3 linked regions of the Oryctolagus cuniculus genome follow. Each later gene encodes a partner of the first gene's protein in a complex. Links are inferred from orthologs where the notes say so. Each region holds a gene or a part of one and is shown in the gene's direction. Other genes may lie near its edges. The genes, in order: RBBP4, ZFPM1 and PRDM16.

What was found.
Region 2: the proteins of RBBP4 (region 1) and ZFPM1 are in contact, whole or in part, in a crystal structure (PDB 2XU7), measured with the Homo sapiens proteins. The link is inferred for Oryctolagus cuniculus from reciprocal best matches to the Homo sapiens genes RBBP4 and ZFPM1. Residues at the interface, in NP_005601.1 of Homo sapiens: Ala39, Leu40, Glu41, Trp42, Pro43, Leu45, His71, Thr72, Ser73, Glu126, Asn128, Arg129, Pro145, Glu179, Tyr181, Asp198, Glu231, Asp248, Glu275, Asn277, Glu319, Phe321, Lys376, Glu395, Asp396, Asn397; in NP_722520.2 of Homo sapiens: Ser2, Arg3, Arg4, Lys5, Gln6, Pro9, Arg10, Gln11, Ile12.
Region 3: the proteins of RBBP4 (region 1) and PRDM16 are in contact, whole or in part, in a crystal structure (PDB 6BW4), measured with the Homo sapiens proteins. The link is inferred for Oryctolagus cuniculus from reciprocal best matches to the Homo sapiens genes RBBP4 and PRDM16. Residues at the interface, in NP_005601.1 of Homo sapiens: Ala39, Leu40, Glu41, Trp42, Pro43, Leu45, His71, Thr72, Ser73, Asp74, Glu126, Asn128, Arg129, Glu179, Tyr181, Asp198, Val229, Glu231, Asp248, Glu275, Asn277, Phe321, Glu395, Asn397; in NP_071397.3 of Homo sapiens: Met1, Arg2, Lys4, Ala5, Arg6, Ala7, Arg8, Lys9, Leu10.

What each region holds. Positions count from the first base shown.
Region 1 is NC_091438.1:139,874,939-139,878,579, reverse strand, and holds part of RBBP4 (histone-binding protein RBBP4), read left to right. Parts: intron 1-923; coding exon 924-1,097; intron 1,098-1,442; coding exon 1,443-1,558; intron 1,559-1,657; coding exon 1,658-1,818; intron 1,819-1,930; coding exon 1,931-2,057; intron 2,058-2,192; coding exon 2,193-2,270; intron 2,271-3,641. UniProt on the Homo sapiens protein: Core histone-binding subunit that may target chromatin assembly factors, chromatin remodeling factors and histone deacetylases to their histone substrates in a manner that is regulated by nucleosomal DNA.
Region 2 is NC_091449.1:68,558,613-68,562,353, forward strand, and holds the start of ZFPM1 (zinc finger protein ZFPM1), read left to right. Parts: upstream 1-999; 5' UTR 1,000-1,336; coding exon 1,337-1,376; intron 1,377-3,741. UniProt on the Homo sapiens protein: Transcription regulator that plays an essential role in erythroid and megakaryocytic cell differentiation. Essential cofactor that acts via the formation of a heterodimer with transcription factors of the GATA family GATA1, GATA2 and GATA3.
Region 3 is NC_091438.1:162,974,868-162,978,508, reverse strand, and holds part of PRDM16 (histone-lysine N-methyltransferase PRDM16), read left to right. Parts: intron 1-796; coding exon 797-931; 3' UTR 932-3,641. UniProt on the Homo sapiens protein: Binds DNA and functions as a transcriptional regulator. Displays histone methyltransferase activity and monomethylates 'Lys-9' of histone H3 (H3K9me1) in vitro.

The sequences.
Region 1 (3,641 bases):
CTCTTGGATGCATATAGTAGTCAAAATGAGAATTTAAAGTGTTTTTGTCTAGTCCATGCATACCTGTTTTATTTCAACCAAGGACATTGATTGGCAAGTGTAAATGGAGGTCAAGAAAATGGAATTAGCTGTTGGGGCTCTGTTACTCCTCATTGGGCTAAAAGAAATGCTGTAGGGATATGAGTGTGATAGTATTTCAGAAAGGTCACTCAAGGGCAGGTATTGTGGCACAGTAGGTTAAGCCGCTGCTTGGGACACCTGCATCCCATATTGGAGTGCATTTATTTATCTTTTCAAGCAGAGAGAGCTTCCATTCACTGGTTCAATCCCCAAATGTCCACTGCTGCCAAGGTTTGGTCCAGACCAAATCCGGGAGCCTTGAAGTCCATCCTGGGTGGTAGGTACTCAAGTACTTGAGTCATCTGCTGCTGCTTTCTCAGGCACATTAGCAGGGAGCTGGATTGGAAGCAGAACAGCTGAGACTGGTCCTGTGTGGAATGCTGGCATCAAAAGCCATGGCTTAACCCACTAATGCTAACCTCATTTTTTTTTTTAAGGTGGGAAGTGCCCCAAATTAGAGATTCAGGTGAATGGTATAAGAGGGACTCTTTAATGCTTAGTAAACTGTGTACTTAATAATCATTTAAATAGTAACTTGAGTTTTGTTTATTTGGCATAATTGTAGTTTAAATGATACTTGAAAACTAGTAAGAATCTCCTTTTGAAGTGGAATTGCTAGTTAATTTCAAATAGTGAGGGCAGTGCTTCTTATTAAGTATTTAACTATGTACTTAGAGTGTAAAAGACCAACAAATATCTAAATCACTTGTATACTGGCTTACTGATAAAAGTCCTTGTACTCTGGATGACATACCTAGAATAATTCCTGCTTTTTCCTCATTTGCACTTGATCTTATTTACAGAATTTGGAGGTTTTGGATCAGTTAGTGGAAAAATTGAAATAGAAATAAAGATCAACCATGAAGGAGAAGTAAACAGAGCTCGTTATATGCCCCAGAACCCTTGCATCATTGCAACAAAGACTCCATCCAGTGATGTTCTTGTCTTCGACTATACTAAGCATCCTTCTAAGCCAGGTACCTGCCCTTTTCTAGTCAATTGCAAATAATGCATCAAGAGTGGGAATACATGGTTCCACTCATTCTGAGTATAATTACTTGTTGTTTGTATAATTTAACATTTTGTGATTTATATTACTACGTAAATATGAATGCATACATTTTTCCCTTTATGCTTCTTGCCTTAAAAATTTTTTTTAAGCAGAATGATAATATACCTTAAGTATCATATATTTGGTCATAATGAGTTCTATATTTTTAAATGTTAAACTTTAGATACCTTGATCCAGTCGAGTTGTGTTATGCTTAGTAGATCCAGAGAGTTGATGGAGTAGGTAATCTTGGTGTGTCTCAACTCTGCAGACCCTTCTGGAGAGTGCAACCCAGATTTACGTCTCCGTGGACATCAGAAGGAAGGCTATGGACTTTCTTGGAACCCAAATCTCAGTGGGCACTTACTTAGTGCTTCTGATGACCACGTGTGTATCCTTCCCATTTGGGCTAATTACCAGTTGGATTTCTTTTAGGAGGTTTGTGAAGTAAAAATTTGTCATTTAATGGTTGATTTTACATTTAAGACCATCTGCCTGTGGGACATCAGTGCTGTTCCAAAGGAAGGAAAAGTGGTGGATGCGAAAACCATCTTTACGGGGCACACAGCGGTCGTAGAGGATGTTTCCTGGCATCTTCTCCATGAATCTCTGTTTGGGTCGGTTGCTGATGATCAGAAACTTATGATGTGAGTGGGATCCTTTTTTATTTTTCCTCTGAGTGTTTCCTAAGTTGTGTAGTTACCATTTCAAGCGTTTTTCTTATTTACTTTTTCTTTCTTTCTTTTTTTTTTTTTTAAGTTGGGATACTCGTTCAAACAATACTTCCAAGCCAAGCCACTCAGTTGATGCTCACACTGCTGAAGTGAACTGCCTGTCTTTCAATCCGTATAGTGAGTTCATTCTTGCCACAGGATCGGCTGACAAGGTCTGTTTTGTTTACTTTAAGAGAATATATAGGATTAATTTCCCCAGCATCATTGGAATGTACATAGATCTTTTTAGTCACAGATTTTCTTTAAAAAAAAATTTATTGTTCTTGTTCTTTTCCTTTTGTATGTAGACTGTTGCCTTGTGGGATTTGAGAAATCTGAAACTGAAGTTGCATTCCTTTGAATCACATAAAGATGAAATATTCCAGGTAAGAAGCACCAGTGTTACTAAATTTTTTTTTAATTTATTTATTTAAAAGTCAGAATTACAGAGAGAGAGGTGTCTTCCATCCACTGGTTCACTCCCTAAATGGCTGGAGCTGCGCTGATCCAAAGGCAGGAGCCAGGAGCTTCTTCCCACGCAGGCACAGTGGCCCAAGGACTTGGGCCATCCTCCACTGCTTTCCCAGGCCACAGCATAGAGCTGGATCGGAAGCAGAGCAGCCGGGATATGAACCGGCATCCCTGTGGGATGCCGGCACTGCAGGCGGAAGCTTTACCTGGTATGCCACAGTGCCGGCCCCAATTTTTTTTTCTTAAAAGAAGACTTGTGTATATTACTGGGCACACTTGTGCTTTATCTGGTGCATAAAATAGTAGGGATCTTTCTTTTTGCCTGTATTAACATCTGTGGAAATGAGTTGTTTTTCCTCCAATTGTGTTGTGTTTTATATATGTATACACACACACAGAGAAATGTTATTTCTTTGAGTTTGGATTTTAGTTGGTTTTGTTTTAGACTGATTTATTTATTTGAAAGAGAAAGAAAGAGCTTCCATCTACTGGTTTACTCCTCAAATGGCCTCAACAGCCAGGGCTGGACCAGGCTGAAGCCAGAGACCCACAGACTTGGGCCGGGATTCAAGCTCTACCCATATTGGATGACAGCATCAGATGAGGCAGCTTAACTTGCTGCACTGTGTAACACGATGCTCTTGCCCCCTCTCCCCCTCCCCTGTACTATCAAACTGTATTTTGGCCACCTACAATCTTAGGGTATTAGTGTCTGATTATTTTCACAGCTTTAGTCCTGACAATTGTTTTTGTTTCCATTCATTCATCTTTTTTTATTTTTTTTTTCGTTTTTTTTTGTTTGTTTGTTTGTTTTGTTTTTGTTTTTGTTTGTTTGTTTTTTTTTTTTGACAGGCAGAGTGGACAGTGAGAGAGAGAGACAGAGAGAAAGGTCTTCCTTTTTTCCGCTGGTTCACCCTCCAATGGCCACCATGGCTGGTGCGCTGCAGCCGGTGCACCACGCTGATGTGATGGCGGGAGCCAGATACTTATCCTGGTCTCCCATGGGGTGCAGGGCCCAAGCACTTGGGCCATCCTCCACTGCACTCCCTGGCCACAGCAGAGAGCTGGCCTGGAAGAGGGGCAACCGGGACAGAATCCGGCGCCCCGACCGGAACTAGAACCTGGTGTGCCGGCACCACAAGGCGGAGGATTAGCCTAGTGAGCCGCGGCGCCGGCCCATTCATTCATCCTTTATAGCTCCTGGTTTTCTGCCTAAGATTTATTTATTGAAAATCAAAGTTACAGAGGGAGAGAGAGAGAGAGTGCATGCGTCTTCCATTTGCTGT
Region 2 (3,741 bases), on another chromosome or scaffold:
GGGGCGGGGCCGCGGAGTCCGGGGCGGGGCCGCGGGGCGGGGCGGGGCCGAGGAGTCCGGGGCGGGCGGGGCCGCGGGGCGGGGCGGGGCCGCGAAGTGCGGGGCGGGGCCGCAGGGCGGGGCGGGGCCGCGGAGTCCGGGGCGGGGCGGGGCCGCAGGGCGGGGCGGAGCCCGGAGTCGGGGCGGGCGGGGCCGCAGGGCGGGGCGGGGCCGCGGAGTCCGGGGCGGGGCCGCGGAGTCCGGGGCGGGCCGGACGGCGCGGGTCAGGTTGGGGGCGGGGCCTGAGGCACTTGAGCGTCCCGCGGGACCGAATAGGTTGCCTCGTCCCAGCCGGGCCCGGGACAAATGTCCCAGGGCCCAAGGAGAGGCGGAGAAGGCCAGAAGGCGACTCCCAGAGCCGGGGGCGGGGCCACGGCCGTGAGGGAGGAGCCGGAAGGGGTGGGGCCAGAGCGGTGAGGGTCGAACGAGGCTAAGGGGGTCAGAGCGGCGAGAGCGGGCGGACCAGCGCGGTGAGGAGGGAACCCACCACGGGAGACAGCGCGGTGAGCGGCTCAGCGTGACCGGCCCGGGGCCGGCGCGGGAATTCAGAGTGGGGGGCGGAGCCAGACCCGGGAGAAGCGAGGCCTTGCGGGGGCGGGCCCGGGCCGCGGGGGCAGAGCCGGCGCGAGAGGCGCCGCCAGGTCAGGGGCGGGGCCTGGGTGCCGTGGGCGGGGCCGGCGCGGGGAGAGGCGCCGCCAGGTCAGGGGCGGGGCCTGGGTGCCGTGGGCGGGGCCGGCGCGGGGAGAGGCGCCGCCAGGTCAGGGGCGGGGCCGGCGCGGGGAGAGGCGCAGCCTGGCGGGGCGGGACCTATGGGAGGAGAGGCGCAGCCTGGCGGGGCGGGACCTTGGTTCAGTGGGCGGGGCCAGCGCGGGGAGAGGCCCTGTCAGGCCGGGGGCGGGGCCACGAGAGGCGCGGCCCCCAGCGGGGCGGGGCCAGAGGCGCGGTGGCCGGCGACGCGCAGGGCCCGCCTGCCGGGATTCGCCCTCGCCGTGGCCGCGGCCGCCCGATCCGCCGCTCGCCGCCCGCAGGCTCCATTGAGAAAAGCCGAGCGGCGGCGGCGCGCGCGGGAGCCGAGGAGCCGGCCCCGTGCGCCGACAGCTGCGCCCGCAGCAGGCGGTGGCCGCCGGCCCCCGCGGCGGCTCCTGGGCCGAGCGCGGCGGGCCGGGGCCGCGGGCCGTGGCGGCTGCGGAGCCGGGGGCCGTGGGCATGAGCCGCCCCGCGGCTCTGCCGCGCGCCTGCCGCCCGCCGCCGCCCGCCCGAGGCTGAGGCGGCCTTGGAGGCGCGCGGCGCCGGAGACATGTCCAGGAGGAAACAGAGCAACCCCCGGCAGATCAAGCGTGAGTCCCGCGGCCGCGACCCCGCGCGGGGCGCGCCGCTGTCCCCTCCCCCGGGCGGCGGTGGGACGGGGGTCCGGCCCGCACCGCGATGGTGCGGCGATAGCGCGGCCCCGATCTGGGCGCCGATAAAGTTTAAAATATTCCATTCTGCAAGTCTCGTCCCGATAAGATCGCCCCGTCGGGACGGGCAGAAATTGTGATCTTATCTGGCGCGCTCGGCTCTCCCAGGCTTTGTATCCAGAGGGGGACCCGGGGGGCGGGCGCCCGAGGCCGGCGCGGGGCCCCTTGCCGCCGGCCCCCCTGGCGCCGCGCGCCCGAGGCCCCCGACCCCGGAGCGTCTCGGCCGCGCAGCCGGCACGCGGGGCCCTGGCGACCGCGGGGGCTGCGCGGAGCCCGGGACAGGTCGCGGGGACTGGGGCCGGCCGAGTTTTTCGCGGGTCGAGCAGTCCTCTCCCGGGCGGCCGCTCGGCCCCCGCGTTACTGATGCCCCACAGATAAGGGCGCCCTGCGCCAGGAAGCGCCGCGCCCCGGCCCACGCCCCTAACAACTTCGCGCCTCTGCAGCCAGGGCCACCTCCCCGGGCCAGACCCGCCCGGGAGGCGTTGAAGGGGGCAGGCCGGCTGCTCGGCTCCTGGCGCCTGGCCGCTGCCAGCGGGACCCCGGGTGCCCGTGCGTGGGCGGTCGCTGCACCCGGGTTGTCCGGAGCCGCGGCGCGGGCTCCGGTCCCGGTCCCCGGTGCAGGTGGGACTTGCTTTCCGAAAGTCGTCTTCCACCGAGTCCGCGCGAGTCTGGAAGCACCCACAGGTCCGATCTGCGCGCCTGCTCGGGTTTCGGCTCCCCCCTCCCCCCGGGCGCCTGTGTTCGGGTCTGTTCTCGTGTGTTTCGGCTGATGAGAAATGCAGATAGGGCGGGCAGGGAGAGCGCGGGTTGGGAACCGATCGCCAGGGCCGATAAGGCCGCCGCGGCGGCGAGAGCCCAGCCCGACTGGGTCGCCGCGCCGCTGGCGCTGGGGACGGGTACCTTGGCAGAGGAGGGGGCCGGAGCCGAAGGTGGCCCCGGGCGCCGCCCCGCCCCCGGCGGCTCAGTGCTGGCGCTTAGTGCCAGCGCCGATGGCAGCTGCGCCGTGGCCTCACCTGCGACCCGGCGGGCGTTGCGGAGGGGCGGGGCCGAGCCCTGGGGCCGCCGCCCCCCGCGCCCCCTCCGCGGCCGGGCGCAGCTGCCCGCGCCCCCAGCGCCTTTTGTTCGGCGCAGATAGATGTGCCGCGCTGATAGGGCGCGCACCGATGGCGGCGGCGATAGGCGCTTCCATTTATTAACTTCAAACGTGGGAGCGGGGGAGGGCGAGGCGGGAGCGCGGCCTTGGCCGGCCAGATGGCTGCTGCGATAGGCCGCCGCCCGGCAGGGCGCAGCCCCGGACCCCCGGCGCCCCCCGGCCGGCCCGGCTCTCCTCCCTCCCGGTTGATGTGAGCTCTGATAAGCGCTGGCCGGCCGGCCGATGGCGATCGCCAGGAGCGATAAGAGGCCTTATCTGCGTCCAGCAGGCCCGGCCGGGTCCGAGGCAACAGCAGCGGGGTGGGGACTGGGACGGAGGCGGGGGCTACCGGCTGGGGCAGGACGGGCGAGGGGGCCCGGGACCGGCCAGGCGCACCGGGAGCAGCGTGCGTCCTGGGGGAGCTCCCCCCAAACACGCTGAGTTGCCAAGAAGTTGGTCCCCCCCGCCTCGGGTGGTACGGTCCGTCAAAATGAAAGAAAGCGGACTTTGGCTGGCCTGGGAGGGGGAGGGGAGGCCTCCCCCAGACGTGTGGCGATGGTGGGGGTCTGTCACCCGGAGAAGGGGAGAGGGCTCCTTCCCTCCCCCCTCCTGGCCCTTCCGGCCGGCAGCAGGAGTAAGCAGCTTGGAGTTTTCTTGGAGAAAAAAAAAACTAAGGTGGTTTCCATGACTTGGAGGCGCCTAGGGTGTGGGATCTCTGGGGGCCCTAAGTCAGGGGGGAAGGGGGGCTGTGCGCAGCACAGGGTCCCAGCTGCTGCCCCAGGGCAAGGGAGGGCGAAGGGGAGCGTGGCCACTGGGGGCTGGCTAGGCCTGGGCCTCCAACTCTGAAGGATGGGCCCTGACTCGGGCTGCCGAGGGGGCGTGGCTGGGAGGAGGCGAGGCGAGGTCAGAAGGGCTCCTCCGTTTCCCTGTCTGAGAAATGGGCCTGGGACCGGATCCCAGATGCCCGGTGGAAAGCCAGGCCCCGACGGTTTCCGGCAGGAGCCTGGGGACTTGCCCGGCCTCCGTCCCCGCCCCGGCAGCTGCTCCGTGCTAGGCGAGGGTGTTTTTCACTCACTCTCAGAGTTTGATTAAACAAATTATTGGTAGCCGCAG
Region 3 (3,641 bases), about 23 Mb from region 1:
CCTTGCGGCCGTGGGCCCCCTCCCCTGGGCCCCCTCCCTCAGGGCAGCGGGCAGGGTCTGTGAGCAGGTTCCCGGCCACGCTATGGCCTGCAGCCCCAGCCCCCACTTCCCTCTCTGCTGTGGGCCAGTGCGACCCACAGCCCCGTGCCCGGGGGCGGCCACTCAGCCGGGTGGCCCCTGCTGCTAAGCTGCAGCCGTGACCAGGGCCAGGGAGTCACTAGGCCCCGACGCCCTGGCCTCCGGGCCCCAGCGTAGGCGGCCGCAGTGCCCACCTGCTGTCTCCCTGCAGCCGGCCCCCCAGACAGCCTCGCCCCGTCTCAGCTACAGCCGTCTGCATGTCTGTCTTTCGTCTTCCTGCTAATTCTGTCCGGGTGTCGACTTGGGTGCCTCCCCAGCACCCCGTGCTCGGCCCCGTCTCTCCCCCACCGCACCGCCGAATCATTCCGTGGCCTGCAGAGGCTTCCGGTGCCTACTCCCAGAGCGGCTCTGGGGTCCCCAGGCCCGGCAGGAGCGCAGGGTCTCACAGGAACTCCCACCTGTGCCCAGAGCAGACACCTGCGCTTAACTCCCGATCACCAACCGAACCACGCAGGGGCGGGGCAGGGTGACCGCGAGCGAGCCCCTGGCCAGGACGGGGACTCTTGGCGTCGCTCTGGGCAGGAGGGATGGCCCTTCTCCCTCCCCGCTGCAGGGCAGGGGAGACTCTGGGTCTCCCTGGCCCCGCTGCCCTCCGCCCCACAGTGTGGGCCAGGGGGAGGCTCCCTGCTCACGGCCCGCCTGCGTGTCCCCCCCACAGGCATACGCAATGATGCTGTCCCTCTCGGAGGATGCTGCCCTCCACACCCCCTCCCAGAGCTCGCTGGACGCTTGGCTGAACATGGCGGGAGCCGCCTCGGAGTCCGGCGCCTTTAACCCCATGAACCACCTCTGATGGGCCTGGAGTCCAGAGCGAGGGTGCCGGCTGCCCAGGATGAAGGCGAGGCCAGGGAGAAGCCCCGTGTCACCTCCTCCGACCACCCCCACAGCCGTCCCCTGCCTGCGTGGGCCGCGTCGAACTTTCCTGATGAAGACTCAGAAGCTGCAAGCCCCGGGGCTGGGGGGAGCTCCCTCCTCATCCCTGGAAACCGGCCCTGGGCCTGGTCGGTCGAGCCCAGCCCTCGCCTCCCGGAGCTGCCGCTCCAAAGCAGCCCCAGGCCGGGCCAGGAGCTGGGCCGCTTCCGGGCGCCCGGAGTCACCGAGGAAGGGACCGGCCCGGGGCAGGTGCGCTCTGCCGAGACCGGGCGCGGGCGCTTTTTATAATGAGAATGACAAGAGTGACGCTTTTGGTAATCTTATTGACTACAGATTCTATTTAAGCATGTGGGTTTTAAAAATAGACAGTATTTTTTAAAAATCAAAAAAATGACTTGCAAATTGTTTTTTAAAAGTAATTTTGCATTGCTTTGAAATTTCAGCTTCTCGCAAACCCGGGCGCTGGGAGCCAGCACTGTGCTTGGGCGAGCTCTTTATACTGTAGATAACGGAGAGATTTTCTATCTCGGATCCCATTTGTACAAGCCAGGTTGATTCCGGGTGCCCCGAGGCAGAGCGTGGGGTGCAGACTGGACCGAGGCGTCTCAGACGCGGTGCCCGGGCTGCAGGCCTGCCCGGGGCCAGGACCTGGAGGTGTGCCCGCCTGGGCGGCCTGGAGCTCCTGCCAGGGCCTCCACGCGGCTGCTGGAGAACCCACGGGCGACCACCCCAGACTCCCCGGCTTCGTGGGGAAGCCAGGAGCCCGAGGCTCAGGCCCTCACCCGGGGGTGGCCGGGGGCCCTGGCCACCCTTCCAGAGGTGGGGCCTATTGGCCACATTCTGGCTCCGTGTCCTGCCCGTGGCCACCCAGGGCGGGGCGGGGGCTGCGCAGCTCGGCTGCACCAGGACGCCAAGCGCTACCTGTGCCTACGGCCCCAGGTCGGCCACCCCGCCGTGCCACCCTTGGCGCAGGCTCCTGGCCAGACGTCCGGGGCTGCAGAGAGAGCGCCCAGCCCCCGGGCACGGCAGTGGCTTCTCCACTGGGACGGGCTTTAAATTATTCCCATGGGGCCAACTTCGAAGTATAATTTTTCCGTGATGGAATTCACCTTAATCTGTATATAACTTGTAATTTTTCTAATCATTTCTTTTCTTATTTTATTTCTTCCTTAACAGTATTTTTTTTGGCATTAGACATTCTTATTGTGAAGAAATGATGTTAATATAAGTATCTAGTGAGGGACCAAAACCGTGTATAAGGTTGTGTGTTGTGTGATGCGTCACCAGGGAGGGCGGCCAGCTGACGTGCCAAATACCCCGCCCCGCCCGCCGCGACTCCTGCCGCCGCCGCCGCCCGTGCCCAGACAATCACGCCCTGATCAGTCTGAGTTTCAGACGCATTCGCATTGACGACGAGTGTTCTATTTATTTCTTTTGTCGTTTGGGGAAAAAAACAAATCCTCATACTAGTGTCCCACTAAGAAGAGAAAAAATCACCCACGTTGCCCTTAAGAGGAAACCGCGAGAACGCAGACGACTGCGGCCGCGGCCGCGTGGACTTGTCATTCCAAGGACACCTCCTCCGTGTGCGCCCCGGGGGCCCTGACGCACGCGTGTCCTGGCTGCTCCAGGCCAAAGACAGTGGGTGCCGGGGTCCAGGCTCCTGCCGGAGACTCACGGCAGAGAGGCCCCTGTGGGCGACGCAGCGCTGCAGGTCCTGGGGTCAGGGGTCAGCCCTCGCCGGATCTACCTGGACGCAAGACGGAGGCCGCCTAGCACGAGCGTGTGCAGCGGCAAGGCGGGAGCCGAGGAGCTGGCGCGGCCCCGTCGGAAGCCTGCAGCCCAGCCGCAGCCGGGCCGCCAGGTACCGACCACGTAGGAAGTCTCCCCTCATCTGAACGCGACCCTGTAAACACCCTATTTCTGTAAACCAAATTATATGATTTCTCCTGCGAACGAATGAGCTGTGTGCTTCTTTGTGTGCTAAGACTCCTCCTCTGTCCGTCTCTCTCTCTCTCTCTCTCTCTCTCTCCCACGTGTCTCTCCTGGGCAGTGACCGAGCAGGCAGGGGCTGCCCTCCCCTGGGCCCTCCGCGGCCCCGGGGCGCTAGCTCCGCCCCCTCTCTGGAGATTTCTCTTCTTCCCGGAGAGTCGCCGACAGTGAGGACCACCAGCCGTTCCCCCTCGAGCATGTCCCTACTCCCACCACTTGGCATTAGGGTTGGGGGGCTCTGTCCCAAAACCCCCCAACCAAGAGAGCACTGATCTCCCATGCTGGTGCACCCCCAAAACATGGCCTCCACCAGCCGGTCCTGCGCACCTGGCTTGACCCTGCGCCAGCTCCAGCCCCAGCCCAGCAGTGCCTGGGCCCTCAGCCGGCCACTGTCAGGACCAGGAGGCCCACTGAGAGGCAGGGAGCCATGATGCCGGCCCCCGGAACGCCAGTGGGAGCCAGGTCACCGAGCAGCACAGGCAGGCACTGGGCGGGGCTGCTGGCTGGCGGACCACTGCGGGGGTTCACACAAGGCTACTACCCTGGTGCCGACCTTGCTCCCCAAAACTGAAATCCAGGGGCCCCTCCCGCTCCTTCCCTCCGCCACCCTGCAGCCCTTGTGAGTCAGCACCCTCCCC